2 linked regions of the Drosophila melanogaster genome follow. The protein of the gene in region 2 interacts with the protein of the main gene of each other region in a pairwise test. Each region holds a gene or a part of one and is shown on either strand. Other genes may lie near its edges.

Region 1 (3,268 bases), on a different chromosome or scaffold from region 2:
TCACTTCACTTAATCAATCCAATGCGCCCCCAGATTCGCCGGCATCAGCTGCGGGATCGTCTACCTGTACGCCATAAACTTTCAGAACGTGGACGAGGACGCCTACGGAGGGGTATGGGAGCTGATCAAGGAGGGGTTCATGACGTCGTTTGCCGGATTCCTGGTCACGTGGATCATCTTCTACACTGGCCTGCACTACGACGCCATAATGGCGGCGAAAGGATCTTAATAACACTCCCCAGCAATACCGGATTCCAGGAGCCAGGTCCACACCACACCACTCCACTCTCCACATAAGCCAGCAGCTCCTCTCGTTTTGTGTCCCCTTTGTACTCGCTGTAGATTGTTAAACTTTTAGCCAATTACGGTCATGTAAATGCATTTCTGTTGTGACCGATTGTCCCGAATCTTTCCGTGAAAGATCCTTCGGCCAGCGGTCTTAGTTGAAAACAGAAGATTCTATATGTTTTTGAGTGTCCGAAATGCAGAATGCGATGAATCAACTTTTGGTGTTTTATTAAAAAATATTGGTCTACGGTTATAAGGTAGCTGACAGATGAGCGGATAATTCTAGTCCTAGTATTCCATGGCCACGGCCCCCGAACCGTTGTGCCCCGCCCCGTTCTGTGCCACCGCCTCCATCTCGTGCTGAAACTTATCCGGCAGCTGGCCGCTTTGCAGGATCTGCGATAGACGCTCCACCTCTGCCAGAGAGCTGGCCCGCTTGATGGCCTCGCGGATGCGCTGCATGTCCTGCGGATTGGCCAGTCGTCCGCCTTCCGATCCCCTTCCCTTGCCATTCCCCGCCTCTGCAGCTATGGCGGCTGCGGCGCTCATCTTGGACTTCCGGCTAATCTCCTTTAGCACGTCCTTGCCCTGCTTGGTGCGGAAGAACTCCTGCGCCGCCTGGCGGTCCTTCTGCTTGATCTTCCTGAAGTCGAGTAGCCGCAGCTGCGGGAACTTGTAGGCCATGTACTCGCGGTAGTTGGGCTTCGTGGATACCGGGTTGATAAGCAGGCAGATGGTTTCCAGCTTGGTGAATCCGACCAGGGGCTCTAAGTCGCTCAGCTCCTGCAGGTTGTTGCCGGTGAGAATGATGGAGCCCAGGTTGGGCACCGCCTCCTCCAGCCCTTCGCTGATGCGCAGGATGCGGTTGTTGTTCAGCAGCAGGCACTTGAGGCGCGGCAGATGCGGCAGGTTGTCCAGCTTGCGCAGATCGTTGTCGGACAAGTCGATGGTATCAAACTGGTCCAGAGTTGCGCCCAGGTTCTCGATTTGTGGAATCTTATAGCCGCGCAAATCCAGCTCGCGCTCCCGGCATGGGTTTATGTATTGCATCGACTGGTTTATCAGCTCCGGCGTTAGTTTCACCATCTTGGCAGTTATAGTATGCTTACGTTTGGTCTTTACTCGGTCTTTTTATACTCTTTTGAAGCTTATTTTCCGAAATGCAGAAAAACAATTCGCTGCCGACGCGAGTTGGTGATGAACAGTTTTCCGATAGCAAGCAATGCCGGCATCGCTATCGATAGATCTAGTGGTAACAATGTTTTGGTATTTTATCGGTCTGCTGGGCTTCTACCATTCTAAATATCGTAATAATACTGGGATTACTCCAATGCTGCCAATAGGGCCCCTGATCTTTCGAAATTCAAAAATAAATAAATAACACTACTGTCCAATATCGTTTCCGTTTAATTTGAATTTCAATAGATTACAATGATGTTTTAATTGCTTAACTTTAATGAACACGTTAAGTTTCTCTTATTTCGTTTCGGGGTTTTGAATGAGAACGGGATACACTCAAAACTCGAAGTGTGTGGTCGGTGGTGGACTGGTTTAAAGTTTAAACGCTGCTCTGAATATATTCTGTGTCGTTGGTGCAAACTACTAGATCATCAAAATTGAAGTTGATCGTTTTGCGATAAGGGTAATTAGTTTTCTATAGATTTCGGTTTTCTGTTGTTAAATGGCTTAGTAATTTTATATCGGTTTCGTTTTCGCCTAGTTTCTTAAATTGTTAACTATTTAGAAAATAATCAATAAGATCGTCGGTCTCCGCCTTGTTTCTAAATAAATGCATTTGTTTCTGGCGGCATAACGCGCCTCAAAATTTGAAAACGGATTGTCGCTTAAATACTATAAATACTATAAGTATGTGTATAGGGGAGGTAAACAGAAAAGGGGAAATAATAAACCATAAAGTTTGTATTTGGAAGCAGTTATAAAAAATATTATATTTCATTTAGATTTTTTTAGGTTTAGCCCATTAAAATAGTTCTTATACACTCAATCGAATTACATAATATGTATAGTGTATCATATTCATTGCGTTATTTTCGTTAGTTTCATTGAAATTGATGTAGAGCACACGCTAAAAATATTTGTAGATTAATTCTGTATATAATTGGCACTTAACTGATTTAAATACATAAAAATATAAAATATAGTACACAAAACATTTTTAAAAATATGCAAAGGTTAATTTGGATAAAAGTATCAGGGTTTGTATCAATAAATAAATCACGTTCATTCTAAATTGCCAAATGAAAACAACACACACGCGGCATTGCACATAAATTAATGGTTCAGTACGATAAGTTGCAACCTTGTTTCCCTCTATCCTTCTGTCTTCACCATTTCATCTCATTTCCTCCTTATCATCAGTATCATCACTTAACGTTATCATCAACCCTACTATCTATCACGTGAAACTGTGGCAGGTTGGGTGAAGGACTAGGGATCGACGTGAGGGAATGTTGAGCATATAACTAGAACACTTATAAATCAACGACATCCTCCTTGGTGTAGGTCGAGTCTCTAAAACCGCGTCTGGTCGCCATGCTCTGCTGCAGTTCTTCAACTAATGTCTCCTGTGGGTAAGTGGAAGAGTGATTCTATTAGACGGCTCGATTAAATAGGAGCTAAACAGGCAAACACAAACTAGATGAAATTACAGGCAAAATGCGGCATACTGGCTAATACGACACAACTTAAGGAATACACACTATGCAGCAAATGCGAATGTTAGACGCACAGGATGAGCACCGAAATCAACCAAGCGAAGTAGCCAGCCAATTTTGATCGCTGATGAATAAAAGTTATCGCATTGCAGCTCCGGCCTCGGAGATCAAACCTCGAATAGCGTGGAGATCTCCTTGCCGGCTATCCGCTTCACACCACCACTTTCTGCGCAGCTTCCAGACTTGGCGCCCAACTGTCCGTTGCGCATACTGAGGATTTCGTTGCTGATTAAATTGGCACAGGC
Region 2 (4,477 bases):
AATCGGATAAAGGTTTTCCGCGGACCATTTGAGAAAAAGATTAAAAAAGATAATTTATATTTTAGAATACAAAAGAATTTAACTTTTTACAATCACGCGGTCAAACAAAAAGTAAAGTCAAAAGCGTAAAACCTATTCAGTTAAGCCAAAAAATTGAAGATTTTTTGTTGTTTTTGAAAAAAAAAATGATATAAAAACAAATTTAAGAGATCAGAAACTTTGCTATTTAACAGCTATTAATAACTGAGCTATTCATACATACAAATTTGTTTCGGATTTAAAAATAGTCAACCTATTCAGTTGAGCGGCACTGTGCATTGATTCGGCTATTACTATTTCTAAGCTAAATAATAACAACGTTAAGGCTATGCAAAACAGGAATTTTGTAAATGGAGACAATTGATAAAAAATAATAAATATTTAAAGTCTAGAAACTTGTAAAGTGAAGGGCATTTTTTGTCAAATTAACAATGCATGAGCATACGTGTGCACACATACAGTTGCCGGCTGTCACTGTATGAGCTGTTTGCTGTAAAAAAACAGCTCCGAAAAAATCGTTTTCAAAAAAATCGTATGGCGTTACGCATCTTGTTATTCTAGTGTCTTTGGTCCAACCAACATAGCATAAGGTCTAAAGCCAGGGGTATTCCACTTTGTTACCTAAACTGTGTAAGCGACCCCAACAATAAAAATATACATAAATATGGTCAAAATGTTTTTGTTTGATAGAAAGTAGTTTTTAATAGAAATTTACAAGACTAGTTCTGTGCGGTAAACATTTTTTAGGCTATCAATAACTTAGAAAAAAATAAATGCAATCTTAGTTGTATTAGTTCTAATGTAATTGGAAACATTTAAACTTATCATAGTTGTAAAACCCCGCTCGCACTTGACGTCCTCCAAAAAAACGTCCATTAAGGTCCACTACAGCTGCAAAGAAAAATAAAAGCTAACTATTTACCAAACAAAGTATTCACATATGTATAAAAACCTTTAATTGCACTTTCGATCCGCCTAAACTCTACGAATATTTTAACTGCATCTTCTGGCACAGTTCCGAACGATTCGTGAATGATTACACTGTTCACTTCCCCGTACTTGGTGTTGCATTCGTCTTTTACCTCGGGTTCCAATTCTTCGTCAACGTCCCCGGGTCCTACCATGTTGCGTAGAAGAACAACCTTGCTTGGTGATTTCATAATCTCCGTAATGCTGTATCCGATGTCACCACTCTCAGCCGCCGTGTCTACCATCTGGGGAGGAGGCATGGCCTTGTGGCTGGGACTTGTTCCTATTTGGGAGCCAATAGAAGGTGGCGACAATGCTAGGGGTGGCAGAAAAACGTCTTTTTCGTGTATGATCCGTCCACCACGTTTGGAGGTTTTCTCTACTTGAAGAGCTATGGCCATGCCCTGCTCCGATTTTCCGAGACCTTGACCATCCTTAAACCCATATTTTGCCATAATTTTGGCGGCCACCGAGCTGGCAGAATATGGCATAGTATTAGTGGCTTCACAACCACTATCAATGGACATTTCTTGGAGGGAAGGAGGGGGAGCGATTGTGGCACCTCCCTGTTTAGCTACAAGGCCCGGAGATGGCAAGTACATGTCATCATCGTTTTGCCGGTGGCCAAACCCGCTGAGCTTCAGGTTAGGGGCTGAGACTTCGTCTCTATAAAATTCTCGACGACCGACGCGTCCACGTTTACGATCTTTTTCTTTGTCATCTCGGTCTTCTCGATCACTTACGCCTGCTCGATTTTTGTCACTGCCATTACTTTTCTCTTTAAGTTTTTCATATTCATTTGGCCTTTGAGGATCGTATTCATCGGCAACGTCCCAGTCCCCCCTGTTTATCCTTTCCAGTATGGATGGAAGGGCTTTACCACTTATTAATGGTTTGGATACAACTGTAGTAATTGGAGCAAAACATGTAACTTCTGGATCTGCAAGGCGTTTGGACCTTAGATTAACCACTGGCGTCATAAGCTACATAGGGTGTATTAATAATTGTATGATCTATATCGGCAGATTGTATACTCACTGGTTTTTTGACAGCCATTTTTACTGCCAGCTGGGTCTGTAACATTTTTATTCCCGAAGACCATCCATCAATCTGGCTAGATCGAGCCCTCGTATCAATGCCGTCATACAAATCCATTAACAAATATATCAATACTAGCACCACCTTAAGATATTGATGACAACGAGCTTCAACAATGTTTTTATTTATTTTCAAGGCCCGATAGATTTAATGACTATCAACTGTTCGACTTAATGTCCGATTCACACAGAGCCATATCACTGCAAGAAAGGATGCCCTATCGGGCAAGAACAGATAAGCTACAATAGAAAAAAGTTTACAAATCTATTTATTTATTTAAATTTATTTTAAAATTTTTCTAACACAAAAAAACGCATGCGTCTATTTTATGTTGAAACTTAAGTCAACTACATGGGTCATCGAACTGTTTTTAATTTCACTGTTTTACTAAAATAAAAACTATTGCACAACGATTGCCTTGCATCTATGGCATAGTCATAGTTAGTAGAGCTTACGACTTACACGCTAAATATTATCGATATTGAAGAAAAAAATTAAGAAGAGCTTACAGTTGTTAAAAACAAGTCGTACTTCATAATGTTTTCGTTGCTTTCAAAATAAATACCTTGAAAGAAGGTATTTAATTACCTATGCACGATAAGATACTACTATCATCGAATATATAGGAAACAAACCCCTTTAAACGCTACGAAACAAGGAAAATGTTACTACTTCTATTCATGAGAGTGTGGGCGGGGCTTAAATCGAATAACTTTGTATAAAGATTTCCCATAGTTAACACAAGTTAAACTTCTTAAAACTAATAAAAGCAAAACAAGCATCAATTTTTCACAATTCAAAATTTTATGATAAATAATGCTTGAGAGAGCCAGTAAGAGCGTCGTCTGTTTAGCCGAACCATTTGATTTTGTAATGGTTTTTGTAGCGATAAATTGTGCAACAGTTAATGTATAGTGGATTGAACTGTAGTTACTCGATTGCCAAGACATAATAAATCGACTGAGAAAGTAAAGGAAGATTCCTGCGGGGAATGTGCTTTTCGTAAGTTTTGCATATCTTAGCATTTTCATTGTGTCATTTAAAGAGATTTGTAGATTAGTGTTGATCAAGATCATACAGAATTGCCAATTACATGCGGCACGGGGACTACCGATGTCTAAGCAAAGACATTCGAATATCAAGAGGTTTGTGACGGCCAAAATTGCTCTTACTCCGCCTCGCGTGAAATTGAGAGCGTAGAAGACGATTTTCGAACCGAAATTAATATTGATCTAAGAAGCGAAGTTACATATTTAAAAATGATTTAAAAATTAATGCCTTGACCATTATTGTTTTTATTCTTAATGTTATTTAAATTATTATCAACCGTTCACATAAATATATTTTATTGTTTATAATTAATATTTGTAAAATGGTACTGGAGACATACTTCAACATGAGACTGTGAGCAACATAACAGAATTAAAATTATGTTTATTATTTCAACTAATAAATCAAATGAATTTTATCTAAAATTGTGGATAAAACTTTTGTAATTTAAAAAATAAATTTAAAAAATATATATACATTTTAAAAAATGTATTTCATAAAAACTATACAAACATACATACATAGTTAAAAATGAATATTTATATAATAAATATAAATATACAACTTGTTGCTAAATTTTAGGGCACGACATGCGGATTTCATACGTCGCGAGCTGAATACTGTGAGGAGTCTTAAAACTCTCAAAAAATACAACTTAGGAAAGCTGCTTAGCAACAGCGAAGACGGCTGGAATGTGAGAGTTGTCAGGCGGCCAGGTCGAACGGAAAATAATGGACCTTGGACCCCGACAAAGTGGAGAGACCGTGAACTAACGGTATTGCGCTGGACCTTTGACTCGAGCTCTGGACGGCCAAGGCCCAAGGTCGAACGGTAACAATGCGGACTTTGGACGAGCACAAAGAGGACGCACCTTGAACTAACGTGGCCTTGTACCTGAGCGGACCGTGCACAAAAAAATAACGCGATCCCCGCGACCACCTATACCAACAAGGCGACAAGAGATTCGCGAGTGGGAACGAACAGTGAGAAAGTAAGAGTAACGCCGCGAACAGTCAACCCGTCAGTGAAAAACGCGCACCCGTCGACAAGGTAACGGTCTGTGAGAACGCGCAGGACGTAGAAGGGAATTAGCCAGTGAGCGGACATACAAGGACAATCACTCCAGGTGAAGAACGGTGCAATGCAGAGATCCGCGGAGCACGATAACACAAGAACCTGGTCAGAAGGGACAGTGGAGTCAGTGGTCGGTAAGGGTAGTCCCTGGCCGAGTGTTGCCTTAACCAGTTGACGATATACCCTGGCCCATGACATCCTAATCCCTTTCGATCCTGCACGTGTTCCGTTGTCAGGGACACACAGG

Evidence for each region.
Region 1: the proteins of Spf45 (region 2) and U2A interact in a two-hybrid assay, tested with the Drosophila melanogaster proteins (one study listed by BioGRID).

What each region holds. Positions count from the first base shown.
Region 1 is NT_033778.4:7,674,862-7,678,129, forward strand, and holds U2A (U2A), read right to left. Parts: upstream 1,502-3,268; 5' UTR 1,375-1,501; coding exon 577-1,374; 3' UTR 501-576; downstream 1-500. Other genes in the region: CG12107 (uncharacterized protein), read left to right, coding at 34-229; LRR (Leucine-rich repeat), read right to left, coding at 2,781-2,873, 3,137-3,268. UniProt on the Drosophila melanogaster protein: Involved in pre-mRNA splicing as component of the spliceosome. Associated with sn-RNP U2, where it contributes to the binding of stem loop IV of U2 snRNA.
Region 2 is NT_033779.5:23,066,154-23,070,630, forward strand, and holds Spf45 (Spf45), read right to left. Parts: upstream 2,234-4,477; 5' UTR 2,164-2,233; coding exon 2,047-2,163; intron 2,039-2,046; exon of another isoform or gene 1,992-2,038; coding exon 992-1,991; intron 931-991; coding exon 836-930; 3' UTR 721-835; downstream 1-720.